Saccharomyces cerevisiae S288C: one gene and its partners. Changing the gene in region 3 together with the main gene of any one other region gives a genetic interaction. Each region holds a gene or a part of one and is shown on either strand. Other genes may lie near its edges.

Region 1 (4,693 bases), on a different chromosome or scaffold from region 3:
TGGCGAGAATTTTGTTCTGCAGCGCAGGTTTGAAGGTCGATAATTTTGTAGATCTTAAGTATACACCCGGCGATAGCTTCTCACCATGCGTAATCACACCTAAAGCCTTCCTTTCATCTGAATTGAAATCTTTCAGCAATTGTTCTGCATATGCGCTTTCTGACTTTCTTTTGAGCGCCGTTTGCATTTCCTGTCTTTGTCTTTTGGTTTTCTTGGGGGAGAGATTTTCCTTGACTTCTGACTTTTTTACATTCAGTTGTTGAAGTTGCCTATGTTGGGCAAACTGCTGTTGCTGCTTCATCCAAGGATTTTCAGGGATGTTCAAATCGTGCTTCCGCTTTCTAGTTTTATCTGCTAGAAGCGCGTTATATAACTGAGACATTCCCTGAGAGGTAAGGTATTGTGTAATTGTCTGATCTGAATGTGGCGAGTCCAACAGTCGGAGTAATGATTCTCTTTCTGCAAGTGTTCTCTTGGCAGCCATTTCAAATTTTTTGGACTCTACTACGAGTGCCTCTTCTTCAGCAATTTCTGCTGCAGAACGAGAAAGAAGACGCTGTAAATACTTTTTTCTCTCTATCTCCTTTTCAGCTGAAAAATTCAAAGAAGATAAAAGCGGATTGCTAGGATCACTTGCTTTAAAATAATTCCTACAGGTGTAATAAAATTTTTCTTTGAGATCTTCAAGTGTTCTTGAATTATTATAACTGTATCTGTCAAAGATCAGGAACCAACGTAAATCGTATTTTTTGCAGAGATTGAACAGGTATTCTATTTCTTCAAAAGACCAGCTATTTTTACTTTCATCCTTCTTTTCATTAGTAAAGTTTTCGTTATGGTTTTTTTCACTTTCTACGCTTTTTTGAGTTCCTTCGTTTTCATTCATAAAAGCCTCGTACTCCTCCTTGGTGAATGATGGAATAGATAAATGCTGATTGAACTTAGAATATGGCGATTCTTTTGGTGTGTCTCCTATTAATTCTTTGGAACCCTTGACCCAATGACGCAGAGTCACAGAGTTATTAGCTTTGAACTCTACAAATGACCAAGGAGATGGCTTGGACGTCGAAAGCATTTTTTCTTTAAAGTTATTTCCAGACTTAATAACAACGGGGGGTTGGTTCTCTCCTAGCAGGTTAAATAGTTCTCTTTGCATGCCCGTCACTTGAGGCTTGGGCCGGTTGGCTGCCGAGGACGAAGGCACTGATACCTGGCCATTAGTTGGACTTCTGGATTTTTGCTTAATGTTTAGTACATCAAAGATGTCTGATGATGACATATTACCTGTGGTTTTTTTACTAAATTTTCGTATTATCGGAGAAATATGTTATGAATGCTTGTTGCTATTAAAATACAAAGTGGATTCTTGATTTATCACTAAATAGCTACCCGGAGTTGGCGCATCGCAACTTCATTAAATAAGTTCGAGTGTGCGTATTCTAATCTGATTCATATAAAGTATACTCTAAACGGGCTAACTCAAATCTGAAATTAGGGCTACTATATGATAACTAATAAGAAAATAAAGATAAGTGTCCCAGAAAAACTCGGTTTGTCAGAAGAATCTTTTGAGGAATCCTGGGAAACAGTTAAATATGCCATTGATCATATATACAGCGATGACATGGCCGACCTTTCCTTCGAACAAGTGTACAAGACCATTTATACTATCGTTTTAAATAAAAAGGGGCCAATACTTTATAACAGATTGAAAGATTATTTAATCCAAAAATTAGCGCTTTTGAGGGAAACGATAGTCAAGGACAATACTCATGATTATGAGTTTCTTGGAACTATGGCACGGTTATGGGAGGTGCAATGCCATTGTTTTAAAATAACGGGAGACTTAATGATGTATATGGACAAAGTTTATTGCAAACCAAATAGATGCATGGAGGTATACGACATGTGCCTCGATCTTTTCCGAATCGAAATATTGCAAAAATGCTCATCTTCTCTCATCTCAGCACTGATATCTGATATAGAAAGGATTCGTAATTTAGGATCTGTCGACTCCGAACATACTAGTTTGTGGAAAGTACTAATAGGAATGATGGAGACATTACATGACAATAGAGATAGTTTTTTCTTAACCGATTTTGAGCCGGTTTTGATTAGCGCGACAGAAGAATACTACAATAAAGCTATTGATATTGAATTATTAACGCCAATTGAGAGCCTGGAAAAGATTAGGAAGTTAAGGCAGTTTGAAAGTATGCTAGACTCCTCTTTTCTAAATGTGGATTCTCATAATAAGTTGAAGACTGTATTAGAAAATGTCCTTATATGGGGAAAGTTGAGTGATATTATTGAAGATCTAACGCACGAAGCAATGGTAATTTCAAATGGAAAGCTACTCCAAGAAATTTATGACTTGTCAAGCGAGGAAAAATATCGCGTTACTGTCATTGAATCTATTAAATCTTACATCAATAAAAATGCCATAAATATTCCTTTTAATGAAGGTAACCGCAAAAAAGGGCAGAATGCGATTACTTGGTCTTCGGAAATTGTAGAGCTATATCGCAGTCAACACTCGTTTTTGGAAAGTATTGATTTTGGTTCTGTTCGTCTTAATAATTTGACCGGGGATGTATCTAATGCAATACTTGGCGATGTTTTCTCAATGTATTTCTCTAAAGAAGGAGCATTACCATCTGAGTATCTTTCTACCTACGTGGACCATTGTATGAAACGAACCAAGGAAAAAGATGCTGAAATAGTGAAGATCAAGCAAGATTTGCTTGATAGTACCAAATTAATCGGACTCCTAACTGAGAAGGATATATTTGAAAAGATTTACAAAAAACAACTCTCCAGAAGATTACTGCAGCAGAGGTCTTTAGTGGAAATTGAAAAATGGATGGTGCAAATGATAAAGAAGGTTCTAGGAACTTTTTTTACCTCAAAATTGGAGATAATGCTGCGAGATATATCTTTATCCTCTGAAATGTATCAAGCATTCCAACACTCAACAATCAACAGCATAGAATATTTGAGTTTTGCACCACAAGTTTTGACGAGAACGAGCTGGCCCTTTCAGAGTACTAATCCAATTGATGAAGGTATTTCACTACCTCCTAGAATGTCACAAATTTTAGCTGGCTTTGAGGGCTATTACAGCTTAAAATACAAAGAAAGAGTGCTAAAGTGGGCTCATCATCTAAGTGTAATTGAAATTGGCTGCCAATTTAATAGCGGTTACTACGAAATAAGTTTTTCTGTTTACGCTGGAGTGATTTTCCTTCTATTTGAAGATTATGAAGAATTAACGTTGGGGGAAATATATGAACTAACTCATATTCCCATAGATGACGTTAAGTCTCTTGTAATGTCAATGTCGACAATACCCAGATGTAAGATTTTGAAAAAATCATCCAGTTCAGGAAATATGAAATTTTCAGTTAATTATTTCTTTTCTTCTCCAAACAGGAAAGTGAAAGTGCCGGTTATTGCATGCCCTCTACCATCTCAGAAATCAGATAATTTGGCAACCGCAAGTTCCGTGGACACTTATGATAATGAAATTGTTATGGAGCTTAGTGCTATTATTGTTCGTATCATGAAAACAGAAGGTAAGCTAAGCCATCAGCAATTACTTGAAAGAACTACGAAACGGACACAGTCTCGGCTCAGTCTTACACCGAGCATTTTGAAACGAAGCATTCAGCTTTTAATAGAGAAAGAATACATCCAGAGAAACGCAGATGACCCCTCTTATTACCATTACCTTTCCTAATTGCTTATAATGAAAATCACAGGTATAAGGTTTGCAGAATGCCAACAGTATATATAGATGGCAGTTCCTATCCGGCTGCCAGAGCGAACAATATTAAGAGGATATGCGTCGATACTAATTGAATGTTCATCCTGCATTCCTTAGTGAAACTTTCAAAATATATAATAACATAGTTATGGTAGACTATATATCCCAGTCAAACTTGAATGTAATGTGGAGTGGGTAATCGATATCTCTTGAAGTTTATTATGCCTCATTATATTTTTATAAAAAACTTCTAGGAATTTGTTGAGTCAAATAATTTCTTTCTTAATCATTAAGTAAGTTAAAGTTACGAGCCTTTCAGACCTGCGTAGCACTGCTTCAAAGGAACTATTATCAATAGCAGCGCCTTGCTCTTTTTTTTTTTTCAGATGCTTAGCGGCCGTATTTCACTTTTCCTGGTAGAAAAATATATGTTGAAATTTACGGTATAAGAGAAGCTCACCAAAATTATTATCAATAAAGCGGCACTTTTAAATTTGGTATTCTTCCCTGGTTGTCAAGCCTTGGTTTCCCTTTATTTGATAGTATGAGCGAAATAAATAATGAAAATCTAGAGCCAACCTCAAGTACAGTAGCTGAGTCTACAGAAAGCAAGAATAAACACATTCGTAGCGCTTTAAGAAAACGAAGAGGTAAATTAAGCGCCCAAACTTATGAGGAAGATCAAGAGGCTATTTTATCATCTCCTTTATTGACTTCAACACCTAAAACAGTCTCCAGGTCATTAGTGAGGTTATACCCATATTTAATTGTTGTGGATAACTTTCTAAGTATCATCACTTGGTCCAATGACAATGTCTCTGCAAACTTGCTTGGAATATTCTTATTTACGGTTTGTGTTCTATATTTTGGATTTATTACAAGGTATTTTGGACATTTAATGATCGTTGGTATAATATGGGTATATCT
Region 2 (3,934 bases), on a different chromosome or scaffold from region 3:
TAGTAGTCGCAATAACTGCGGTAGTAGTACTAACATCAGTAAAAGTAACGCTTGGTAGTTTTTCTGCCCGGTTTAACCATTGATTTGATGAAATTGTAGAAAACTGAAAAAAAAAAAAAAAATGAAAAAAAAAAATGATGAGCTTCTCGAAGAATACATTAACCACTTATAGGAAGGAGAAGAGATCTACTAGACTCGTAGAAGTGATTAATGGCAAAGAAGAATAAGAAGGATAAAGAGGCCAAAAAGGCACGTGCTGAACTGAAGAATCAGAAAAACCAAAAAAAGCAGGAGAAAAAGTTTCAGAAGAACAAGAATAAGTCTTTAAACGGCGAAGAAGATGATGAAAGTGATCAAGATCTCGATGAAATTCTCTCTAGCTTTAGCAAAAAGCAAATTGAATTAGAGCATGTAGACATCACTTCTGTGGAAAAACCCTCTTGTCGTACTCATCCGTTGATGTTTGCAAATCCGCAACACAATAAACATGAATTGTTCATTTTCGGTGGTGAATTTACAGATCCAGAAACCAAACTAACACATTTCTATAATGATTTGTATTCATACTCCATAAAGAACAACTCTTGGAAAAAATACGTTTCGCAAAATGCACCTTTGCCCAGATCCAGTGCCGCTGTCGCTGTGCATCCTTCCGGAATAGCACTGTTACACGGTGGTGAATTTTCGTCCCCAAAACAATCTAAATTCTACCACTATTCTGATACATGGCTGTTTGACTGCGTTGAAAGGAAATTCACTAAGTTGGAGTTTGGCGGTAGAGACTCTTCACCCAGCGCCAGATCAGGTCATAGAATTATTGCTTGGAAAAACTATTTCATATTATTTGGTGGATTTAGAGATTTGGGGAATGGTCAAACTTCTTACCTAAATGATTTGTGGTGTTTTGATATCTCAACCTACAAATGGACCAAATTGGAGACAAACAGCAAACCTGACGCTAGATCGGGTCATTGTTTCATTCCTACAGATAATTCTGCCATATTAATGGGTGGTTACTGTAAAATCATTGCCAAAAATAATAAAAATTTAATGAAGGGAAAAATCTTGAATGATGCATGGAAACTGAACTTAACGCCTGATCCAAAGAAGTGGCAGTGGGAAAAATTAAAGAATTTCAAGAACCAGCCCTCACCAAGAGTCGGGTATTCGTTCAATCTATGGAAGCAAAACAAGTCCGTTGCTTTTGGTGGTGTCTACGATTTACAAGAGACAGAGGAATCCTTAGAGTCCGTTTTCTATAACGACCTATATATGTTCCACCTAGAGTTGAACAAATGGTCTAAACTTAGAATTAAACCTCAGCGTCAAACGAATAGTAAAAATTCACCCGCCACAAGTAAAAGAAAATCTAATAAAGATCAAGAAAAGGAACTGCAGGATTTACTAAATTCCATTCTGGCCAAGTCTAATCTAAATGACGACGACGATGACAATGATGACAACAGCACAACGGGTCCTAACTCTATCGATGACGACGAAGATAACGAAGATGACAGTGATTTGGACAACCAAGAAGATATTACCATCTCAAATCAATTACCTCACCCAAGATTTAACGCAGCAACTTGTGTAGTGGGCGACTCGTTGTTCATTTACAGTGGTGTCTGGGAACTGGGCGAAAAAGATTATCCTATAAACTCATTTTATAGTATAGATTTGAACAAGTTGGATGGTGTCAAGGTTTACTGGGAAGACCTATCTGCCATCGAAGAAGCAAAGAGACTAGGTGATAGAGATTCGGACGAAGATGAGTTTGAATACGAGGACGATGAGGAGGATGAGGACGACGGCGAAGAGGAACAAGATGCAGGACCCCTTGAAGGTGATGAAGATGAGGAAAGCGAGAGCGACGATGACAAACAAGCGCAGATGGAGATTCCAGACGAAAGGTCTTGGCTACCACACCCAAAACCGTTCGAAACTTTAAGAGCATTCTACTTAAGGGAAGGTGCAAATTTCTTAACCTGGTCTATTTCTAACAACAGAAACCTTAAGGGTAAACAGTTAAAGACGAAGTCATTTGAGTTATGTGAAGACCGTTGGTGGGAAAGAAGAGATCAGGTGACCCTTGAGGAAGAGCGTCTGGAGGATACAGGCGGAATCATTGAAAGAGATACGACTACTAAACCTTCCAAAAGAAGGTAAACATTTTCGCTTTTGTAGTTGAGTTTAAAAAGTATTTATAGCATTTTTTTTTTTTATAGATATCTGTCTTCCATATGGCATCCTTTTCTTTAGTCACTAATTGAGTCATCTGGAAAAAAAAACAAAGGAGACAGGGAAAATTATCTCATTATTACATTCACGAAAGCTGCCCCAACAGAAAAGTAGAATAAACACCTCCTCTCTCAATGACGCTGCAAAGAATTAGTAAAGATTATCTAAAGCCTAATTATGGACTTATCTTACTTATAGTGTCTTATTTTTTCAATTCTTCTATGGTAGTTTCTACCAAAGTCCTAGAAAATGACCCACTGGAAACTTCGCAATCAAGAATTAATCCTCTGCAAATCCTGCTAGTAAGGATGTCTATCACGTACTGTTGTACGCTAGTATACATGCATTGGAATAAACAAAGTGTTCCAGATATTCCATGGGGCCCAGCACCATGCAGGAAATGGTTGATACTCCGAGGTATAATGGGTTTTTTTGGTGTTTTTGGAATGTACTTTTCTTTAATGTATCTAAGTATAAGTGACGCTGTCTTAATCACCTTCATGTCGCCAACCCTAACCATTTTCCTTTCATTTTTACTGCTGGGTGAGCCATTTAGTAAACTTGAAGCCTTGGGGTCCCTAATTTCATTTTCTGGAGTGGTGTTAATTATTAGACCTACATTTTTGTTTGGTGAGCAGACCCAAGGCCAGCAATCTCCACAAGACGATATTGTTGAGACTCAAAATCCCAAATTAAGACTCATTGCTATCGGGGTGAGTTTATTGGGGGTTTGCGGATTGAGTAGTGTTTACATTATCATAAGATATATCGGTAACAAGGCACATGCCATCATGAGTGTCAGTTATTTCTCGTTGGTTACTACTGTTGTGGCAGCCCTCGGTGTGCTTCTAATTCCCTCGATGTCTTTACAACTGCCTCATTCGTGGAAGCAGTGGGGGCTATTTCTGAACTTGGGTATTTCTGGATTCATTCACCAAATTCTGTTAACAATGGGAATCCAGAGGGAGCGTGCAGGAAGGGGTTCGTTAATGACTTATACTCAAGTTATATATGCTGTTTTCTGGGATGTCGTGCTCTTTCACCACTGGCCAAACATATGGACGTGGTGCGGTATGGCAGTTATCGTTAGTTCTACTATATGGGTCATTAATATGAGAGCCTCCAAACAAAACGTTGTGGCTACTGCCGAGCTACTCTCCACATCGGACTTTGAATTAGATGATTTGGAGGATTAAGTGATACCTGTACACTATGGTTCCATGTTGCAGGTGGCTATATTTGAAAAGTCTCCACATATATGTTAATAAGATCGATTACTCCACAAACAGAAAATAACGAAGACTTGAACTTTTCTTATTTTTATGTTTTTGTTTATATTTTTGAATTTAAACTGTTTTATAGAAATGTATGTAATATATAAATTTTATTTTCCTTGAAAAAATGGGTATTTTTCTTTCTATTTTTTCAAGAAAATCTTCCTGTAAATTAATTATGCAATAATGCTGTGGTAGGACTGGAAATAAAAAATGTTGATAACGATTGTTATTAAAGGTAAAAGAAAAATGATCAAAGAGAAATTCTTGTGCTCATTTTTTTGATTGGATGAATATAGTTTCATGTTGCCCTAAGGCTTTGATTAAAAAGGCATCTAGAAGATATTACCCAAAAATTTTTCATAGAACCACTCCATATTTTTACCGTTACTTTTTAAACGCTCTTCCTTTTCTTGGTCCTT
Region 3 (4,986 bases):
GTGCTTCTATGAGGATGGAACTGTACAAACTTTAAATTTAGGACCTTTATTACAGAGCAAATCATCAGTGAACCTGCTGAATTATATAATGGTAATAAAAGAGCTTATAGGTTATATGCTTACTCATCTCGAGTTCATTAACCGGGAACTGGCAACACCTTATTTAGATTTCGTCAAAAGATTGTGTGATGAAGCCTACGGATATGGCAAACTCAAATCGGAATTAGAAGCCCTCTTTTTACTTGGAGAGATCTCATGTGACTTGGAAGACTGGCTTTGCAATTCAGTAGGTGAGAAGAACTTTAAAAGGTGGAAGTATTTAGGTTGTGAAGCTTACCAAAAAACTGTTCAGATTTTAACTTTAATATTTGTACCCGCATGTGAAAGAATCATTATTTATGTGGAGAAGTTAAGGGCAATATTACAAGCCTTTTCTATACAGAATAAGCTCAGTTATACGTCAGATTTGACAGCTGTTGAAGTGCTCCTAAAAAGTTCACAGAAATTGTTAACTATGACATTAAATTCAATAATAGGCTTGGGGAGGGACGAAACACTTTTTGAGAAGTTTTTCATATGGTTCAACGACAGACTTCATGAAGCGCTAGATGAAGATTATAAACTGAAATTTCAATTTGAGGATGATCTTTACTTTGGATACGATTTACTAAGTTACTTTGACAGAATCTTATCTAAAAAAGGTACGGAACCTAGCTCAATAATCGACGTGAAACTTTATAGAGACCTAATTAACAGCATGTCTGATATGGAAAAAGATATTGCACAAAGTAATGTTAATTCTCATATTCAACAGCATATTCTGGTTGATTTAAAAACGGATGTTTTTGCGCAAAAATATCCATCTTCGCAAATAAATTTGCTTGATGCCATAAAATTACCAAAGCATAATTACATAGTCTACCTTATTCAGGTAACAAAACACAACAGTGCTCAAGAACCTTTCTCAGAAGAAAACAAAAAGAAACTATATATAGGTACTCTGAAAGATGAGAATTTAGGCATTATATCAAAGGAATCGTCAGTCAAGATTCCGGCGCTATTCAAGAGCTATAGGTTGAGCAGTACAAGGTTTGTGCCGAATAGGGTCCATAGCTTGCTTCGGGATATTGGATTGTCAGATAGTAACTATCATAGTAGCCACGTCACCGATTATAGGGGAGAAAACTATGAAAACGAGGAAGATGATGGCACAATAGCTATTCCTGCTTACATCAGGGAGAATAGGGAAAATGATGATTTCATAGCATGCACCGCGAAGGTATCGGTGGATGGAAGAAGCGCATCCCTAGTGTTTCCAAAAGAAAAACAAAATGTTTGACACATAGACAGATGACGAGTAGCTTTTTTTTAGTATTTGCATAATGATCACCAATAATAGTAGTAATGAAATGTAAGCGTAAATAGCGTATGCATCATCTCCCAAGACTTTTCTTTTGTATGGCGCACTATGAAGAAGTTTGGAACCCGCCTGTGGTGTACTGAGAAAAAAAAAAAATTTCAAGGGCCCGCAATCTCAAAATGGAGTCAATTGTGTCAAGTCTTTTTTTTTTTTTTCATCGTTATCTCACTTTTTATTGCTTATCTTAAGATAATTTAGCTGATATACTATATAGAATAGCCGAAGTGTCAGTTTACTCAGATTTTTGCTACTTTTGATTACTTTTTTTTTACATTTTCAAGGTAATTGACGTCGGTTAAGTAGAGATGGGGAAGAAGGATAGACAGCGCAAGAAACTGCGTGAGTTTGCTAAATTGAAAAACAGGCAGCGAAACTTGAGAAAGAGCGTGCAAACATTGAAGAATGAGGTTCAACGAGAGGCTAAAGTCCCAAGAACTTCGAATCAAATTGCTTTAGGAAACGACAAAATCGAAGAGATTAACGAAAATAGTCCATTATTATCAGCTCCTAGTAAACAAGAGGAGGTATCAATTCCGAAAGCGGTTGATATTGATACCATTGATGCACAGCCTCTTCACGAAGGCCCAAAAATTGATGACTCGCCCCAAGATGAGGTCAATAGCATTAAAGGAAAACCTGCGGACAAGGCTAATGAAGACGATCTTAAGCCGCCTTCACAACATGAAGCATGTGGAAATTCAGCTTTGCAAAGCTCTATTACAGATTTTAGTGATAGATCAGTATCACCATTGCAAAGTATTACCAGCTGCAATACTCCGATGAGTGAGCACGAGCTACCAGTATCTTCCTCAAATTCGTTTGAAAGAGCTGATGATATGCCTGTAGTGCAGGCAGATAACCAGACGTCAAGTAGTAAATCTTTGCACATTGTTGCACCATCTCCTGAAGTACCAGTCAGCGGAGATGAAATCACTTCATATGGATATGGCTCTATACCCCAGAGCATCGGGGATGTAGAGAACGGATTGAATCCTCCTTATGTCGAAAATACATCATCTGATGAACTTGTACATGATCTGACGAGAAGACGGATATTTTCATCCTGTATGTGTACTTATTTATTCTTTATTGCAATGGACAGTTCTATAATCCTAGTAATTGCGTCCAAAATTGCTTCGGAGTTTCATGAGTTATGGAGATTATCCTTAGTCATCTCAGCATACCTATTGAGTAATGCTATTGGGCAACTGGTATTTTTGAAGCTATCTTTAATATCCAGTGTAAAATTGTTGTTGTGTATTGCTCAATTCAGTTTTATCCTTGGTGGCTATTTATCTTGGAGTTCTGCCCATTTTTGGACGTTTATCTTTGCCCGTTGTGTCACAGGATTTGGGGGCGGTTCCTTAATAGCGCTCAAAAGTACTATTATGAATCGGTTTTCTCAAAAGAACGACAGTCGGTACTCATTGAGTGCCTCTATGATAACATTTGCTATGGGTGTGGTAATTGGGCCCTTTATGATGAACTTGTTTGATTCTTCTCATGGTAGCGGGTGGAGAAATGCCTTCTTAATACCAGTTCCTTTTTGCCTTGTGAATGCCTCGATTATGCTGGCAGATATGTATTCTGTTAAGAGCACTTTATATGGACGCCCAACGCCTACATTATGGAAAAGATTCAAGAATACTCTATTAAGTCCTGATTTATACGAAATATTGACACTTACGCTATTCCTACTTTGTTTCGTTCAAGTGACCTCATTGGATTTAACAGGGTTAAAGAATAATACGATGATTCAAGCGCTACTATTTTCTGTAATTATCGTTTGTGGCATTTTATTTTTCTTGATAGAGACAAGCGATACTTACATGAACTCTGTAATTTCAATGTCCTTACAAGGTGACAAGCGTTTAATATGGACAATGATAGGAATTTCATTTTGCTTTGCAGCATTAATGTGCATCATCCCATTCGGTACAACGTACTTCATCATTGTTTTAAATTTAAGCACTTTACAACTTGCAGAGAGATTGTCCCCATTCTTTTTCTCCATTGTACTGGGTTACTTTAGTGTTTCTTATTTTTGGAAGTCGAAAGGACAGAATTTTTTGCTAAAATTTGTTTTAAGCGGAGCCACCCTGTTACTATATGTGGCACTTATGGGGGTAAGTTTGAATTTACCAGTATGGAAGCAATATATATGTTTGTCTCTGCCATTTTTGGGCTCCTCTATGATATTGACCTTGCTGTCAAATCTTTATCATGAGTACCATGAACAAAGAAAGTCACCTATCAGTGGTTCTATCGTATATTGTTTCGGTGCCGTGGGGGGGACGGTTGGTATTTCCTTGGGTGGTTATGTCTTCCACAAAACATTAATAAAACTTATGCATGAGAAGGTGATGCCATTTAGCAAGCAAGGTTATCTTAAAAAGGACCTTTTGAAAATTATCAAGCACGCTACGGAATCTTCAGATTGGGTACACGAATCAGCCCCAAAGTTTGTTTTTCAAACTTTGATTGAGTGTTATTTACAAGCATGTCGAAACGTATTCAAACTCTCTACCCTTTTTTTTACGATTACTGTCGTAGCAATATTCATTTTCAACAGAATCCATTGTCGTAGTCAAAATTGTTTGTCACTATCTTGAACCGGTAGATGAAAATGTATACTTTAAATAATACAAATACTTTTTTTCTTTTTTCTTAAACCCGATAATACTTTTGTCGCTTAGATAAAGATGCAGGGAACTTCAATCATTGTGGTGACCGCACAAAGGCGGGATCTGAAAAATGATCGTATGGGGCGGGGGAAGAATAGAAGAGTGAACAAGGGGATATGGTATCCGTGCAAGAAATGAATGGCCAGAATAGCTTGATTTTTACTTGCTGAAAATGCAGCAAGCGGAAACCCCTCTATCAGTAGGCAACCAAAGAAAACATGGTTTTGTTTATGATAGTGTTTTCTCCGACTAAATGACACTTAATATATAAGCCAGTCATTTTTCTTTCATACTTTCCTCTTGCATGACGAAACAATTCTTTTTTTATTTCGTTTCCTTGTCTGTACTTTTTAGACACTTGACCATATCACAGATATTTACAGACTCTTTTAATTCTAAATAGGTAAAATGTTCTTCAGCCAAGTTTTGAGATCTTCCGCTCGTGCTGCCCCAATCAAGAGGTATACAGGCGGTAGAATAGGTGAATCGTGGGTAATTACGGAAGGTAGAAGGCTCATTCCAGAAATCTTTCAATGGAGTGCAGTATTGAGCGTTTGTTTAGGTTGGCCTGGTGCTGTATACTTCTTTAGTAAGGCAAGAAAAGCATGAGTTTGATAAGAAAAAAAAATTTGCTAAAAATGAGTGTAACACTACCAACATGGCGAGTTTAGTTTGATACTAGGCGCTATACATTATTATTTATATGCCCAGAGGTTACAACAGTGGCTACAATGCAAAAAATATACTGGCTTATATTTTTCATTTGAGATCTGGTTCCTCAAATATATATATATATTTATTTATTTTTTACACATACATACTGCCCTCCTGATTACTTTAAACATCTATATTACAAAAGAGAAGCATTCTTTTCCGTCCATT
Region 4 (4,217 bases), on a different chromosome or scaffold from region 3:
TACCCGTTACTAGTATAACTGTTATTTAGTCGTAAGCTTTTCATATATATATTGATTGTTTTGCCCTTGAAAAAATACACAGCACCAATGCAGTCCTGTTTGTTTTAGTGATCTCTTAGCAATGTATTTTCAAGGTTGAAAATTTAAACGATCACTATTTTGATTGCGTAAGAAATGCGGAAGTAAACCATTTATTCTCCACTTCCACTTCAATTTTCTTCTTGCTTCCAAAAACCAATTCATTGATTTAGAGCCCATTGCATCTTTATTAAAATGATGTTTGATTGACTTATCATTTTCTAGCAATTGCAACTGCAATCGTTCTATTAGTTCCTTAGAGAAGCTGTCCTTTTTTTTTGATATTTCCTTTTTAAGGTCGATCTTGTTATCTTCTATGTGCCTATTTATTTTTTTTGGAACATCTGTCGATAAATGAAACGGTTCTGCTGAATTCTCTAGATCACTAAAAGTACCGCTGCTTAGATTTGATTCATCCATAGATGATTCGAACTCGCAGTTCTCAAAGATTTTAGCGGCTTCTTCATATCTAACTGTGCATTGCTCACATACAATTTCTTTATAGTATCCTGAATTTAAAAGTCTCGAGCTAATTTCATATAGGGCCTTTTCGCAGATGACACATTTCCTCAGTTGGGAATGAACATTTAATTCCGATAGATAAAGATCATCGTAACTTTTATTGGAAGATGGAATATTAACCAAGTTAACCACCATATTTTCAATGGAATTTGGTATGGAAATATCACTTATTTCAATTTCCTCTTTGATAAAATCTAAGGGGTTGTTACTTTCGTCCCTATTTTCTTCAGTATTCCTTAATATATGGGGTATCAGTGTTAGTGAATTCGGTTCAAAGCTATTTCTATTGGTTTCCTTATTAATTTCAGAATATGAATTTTTTACTCTCAGCGGGATATGATTATCTCTTCTTTTACTTAGTTTTGATTTCAAATCTGAAATAGATACCATTTTTTTTGTTGATTTACTTTGGGTATACGGTATGTAGTCTTCAACCAGGACTAGCGGTGGTATATCCTGAGAAGTATTTTCTGTTAGCTCGTAGTTTTTTGTATCTAAACTCGGCCCATAACTGACGTACCTATTACGTTTGTTGTTATGCACTCGCAGTTCATTTACAGGATTCAACCTGGGCCGTTTTTTATTGTTGTTGTATTCGTTGTTTCCACTGTCATCTTCATTAGTTTCGATATTGCATGGAGGCGCAATTGGCAAAGACGTAAAGCTCTTGTCATCAATTAGATCTAATTTGGAAACAGATTGGTACAATTTGGATGGAATTTTAGGCTTGGCACCTATCAATTGTGAGCGACGCTTTCTTACATTCAATAACTGTTGGTTCTGATTTTCACTTTGACTATTGCCTTGGTATGGAGAATTTCTCTGCAATGGTTTTGCCTGCTTCGAAGGAGTGCTGTTACTATCGAAGATAAATTCCTTCTTTTCAAATTGCCATTGTAACATGGAGTTATTCTCTATATCCTGGACGACTGGAGGAGTCAAGGGCCTGGAAAGTACGGATCCTGTAGAAATATCACTGGCAATTATACTGAGTTTATTGTTGGTGTTGCTATTCATATTTGAGCTGGTATTGGACGAAAGCAAGGATAATGAGTTTGTGTCTACTGACTCCAACACCCTAGGCTGGATTTGATCTTTCTCCATCCTTTAATTTTAACCTTTTAATTAGTGGTTGGATCAAGTTTTCGAGACTATTCCAATCTGTGACTTGTTGGATAAATAGTTTTTGACTCGTTTAGTATAATCCTTTTTTCTAAAAGTGCTTAGAGTTCTCTAAGATGTTCTTGTTTACAATGTGAGCGATTTAGGAAATTTCCTAAAAATGGCCGAGGCGGCGCTAGCATTCTACGAAAGGTGAGATAACGCTTCGTTATCGAAAAATGTCAGGGGACAGGGGTTATATAAGAACGAAAATTGTCATCCTGCATTTTTTCTTTAAAACAGCTATACAAAAAGTGATACCGACATACAATGAAGTATCTAAACTTAGTTTTCGTGCTTCAGCTTCTTATTAGCATCAAATACGCCTCATTCGGCCGAGCCTTTTCTCTTTTTGAAGATGATACCACCTTTGCCAATTTGGATAAACAGCTAAAGCTTCCACAGAATACACAGCAAACCCTTAAATTGGACCGTTTGAATCACGATGATCCGCTGTTTACAACTTTTATTTCTTCTGTGGACACAGATTACAGTTTGAGACTTAGAACAGTAGATCCTTCTAAACTAGGAATTGACACCGTAAAACAATGGTCGGGTTACATGGACTATAAGGATTCCAAACACTTTTTTTACTGGTTTTTTGAAAGTAGGAACGATCCTGCTAACGACCCAATTATTCTTTGGTTAAATGGTGGACCTGGTTGTTCCTCGTTTACTGGGTTGCTATTTGAACTAGGCCCCTCATCAATTGGCGCCGATATGAAACCAATCCACAATCCCTATTCTTGGAATAATAACGCTTCAATGATCTTCTTAGAACAGCCACTCGGAGTCGGCTTTTCCTATGGTGATGAAAAAGTCTCCTCTACAAAATTAGCAGGCAAAGATGCGTACATTTTCCTGGAATTGTTTTTTGAAGCTTTTCCTCATTTACGCTCCAACGATTTCCACATTGCAGGCGAATCCTATGCAGGACATTATATCCCTCAAATTGCACATGAGATCGTTGTCAAGAACCCTGAAAGAACGTTCAATTTAACTTCAGTTATGATTGGTAATGGTATCACAGACCCTTTGATTCAAGCAGATTATTATGAACCAATGGCATGCGGGAAAGGGGGCTATCACCCTGTTCTCTCATCAGAAGAATGTGAGAAAATGAGTAAAGCTGCAGGTCGTTGTCGTAGGTTGAACAAGTTATGTTATGCTTCTAAATCAAGTTTACCATGCATAGTCGCCACTGCTTACTGTGACTCTGCACTTTTGGAACCGTACATTAACACAGGACTCAACGTCTATGACATTAGAGGGCCCTGTGAAGATAATAGTACTGATGGTATGTGTTATACAGGTCTCCGCTATGTCGACCAGTATATGAATTTTCCTGAAGTTCAAGAAACGCTAGGGTCCGACGTGCATAATTATTCTGGCTGTGATAATGACGTGTTCACCGGATTTTTGTTTACGGGCGATGGAAGTAAACCATTTCAACAATATATTGCTGAATTATTAAATCACAACATTCCGGTATTAATATATGCGGGTGATAAGGATTATATTTGTAATTGGCTGGGAAACCATGCTTGGTCCAATGAGTTGGAATGGATCAATAAACGTAGGTATCAGAGAAGGATGTTAAGACCATGGGTCAGTAAAGAAACAGGTGAAGAGTTGGGACAAGTCAAGAACTATGGCCCTTTCACCTTTTTGAGAATATACGATGCCGGTCATATGGTGCCCTATGATCAACCGGAGGCAAGTTTGGAAATGGTCAACAGTTGGATTTCCGGTAATCGTGCTTTTTCGGATCTTTCCACCTTGGAAAATGCTAGTTAGTAGTGCTCTAAAAATGTTTCACTCTTAACCTTGCAATCATTATACTTTACACAAATCTCTACGTTTCATTTAATTTAAAATCTACAATCCAACAAATATAAAACAAAATATAATTATAAGGAAAAACGTATATAATCACTGCAATACTCTAATTTAAAATTAGGAGCACGACATTCTTGCCAGTATCATTGTTGCTAATCTTTTTCTCTCATAAATTGCCACTTGATGTTCACCCTCTCCTTTTAACTTTTCTATATGTTCCTGATCAAAAATATCCAGAGGCTTCACAACTGACAAGCCTCTCTTTTTTAAAAGTTCGACCATTTCATCATTAAATTCCTCTAGGTAATTAAACTCACTGTGTGTAACAAGCATCCCAATCAATTCAAAAGAGACAGCAACCGCTTCAGATGATTGTTCTAGGGTTGATAACCTCCTGAATTCCTTTCTAGTCAGCGTATAGAACCTGAATACACAAATAGGGTTGACTTTGAGCAAATACCTCATCAATAGAGCAAAACGGAATTTACATGGTTCGTCTGACATAACACAGCTAAACAAAAGTGCTCCTTGGTATAAGACTATATTAGATTTATCTGAGTCTGAACTTAGCCAGTTGATCAAAGTAAGTGGCACTTTTAGTGTATTATTTAAAGGTA

What was found.
Region 1: mutations in VBA4 (region 3) and CUL3 together harm fitness more than expected from each alone (negative genetic interaction), as found in Saccharomyces cerevisiae (one large-scale study listed by BioGRID).
Region 2: mutations in VBA4 (region 3) and YPL264C together harm fitness more than expected from each alone (negative genetic interaction), as found in Saccharomyces cerevisiae (one large-scale study listed by BioGRID).
Region 4: mutations in VBA4 (region 3) and ATG42 together harm fitness more than expected from each alone (negative genetic interaction), as found in Saccharomyces cerevisiae (one large-scale study listed by BioGRID).

The regions. Positions count from the first base shown.
Region 1 is NC_001139.9:498,628-503,320, forward strand, and holds CUL3 (cullin CUL3), read left to right. Parts: upstream 1-1,504; coding exon 1,505-3,739; downstream 3,740-4,693. Other genes in the region: SWC4 (Swc4p), read right to left, coding at 1-1,279; PEX31 (peroxisome biogenesis protein), read left to right, coding at 4,311-4,693. UniProt on the Saccharomyces cerevisiae protein: As part of the CRL3 E3 ubiquitin ligase complex; polyubiquitylates monoubiquitylated RNA polymerase II subunit RPO21 to trigger its proteolysis; plays a role in global genomic repair.
Region 2 is NC_001148.4:42,783-46,716, reverse strand, and holds YPL264C (uncharacterized protein), read left to right. Parts: upstream 1-2,372; coding exon 2,373-3,434; downstream 3,435-3,934. Other genes in the region: KEL3 (Kel3p), read left to right, coding at 211-2,166; DIP5 (dicarboxylic amino acid permease), read right to left, coding at 3,848-3,934.
Region 3 is NC_001136.10:686,502-691,487, forward strand, and holds VBA4 (Vba4p), read left to right. Parts: upstream 1-1,725; coding exon 1,726-4,032; downstream 4,033-4,986. Other genes in the region: APC4 (anaphase promoting complex subunit 4), read left to right, coding at 1-1,339; COX26 (Cox26p), read left to right, coding at 4,513-4,713. UniProt on the Saccharomyces cerevisiae protein: Transporter required for vacuolar uptake of basic amino acids.
Region 4 is NC_001134.8:513,633-517,849, forward strand, and holds ATG42 (carboxypeptidase C), read left to right. Parts: upstream 1-2,031; coding exon 2,032-3,558; downstream 3,559-4,217. Other genes in the region: YBR138C (uncharacterized protein), read right to left, coding at 130-1,704; GTPase-activating protein IRA1, read right to left, coding at 3,718-4,217. UniProt on the Saccharomyces cerevisiae protein: Vacuolar serine-type carboxypeptidase involved in vacuolar zymogen activation, breakdown of the autophagic body, and autophagosome-dependent protein synthesis.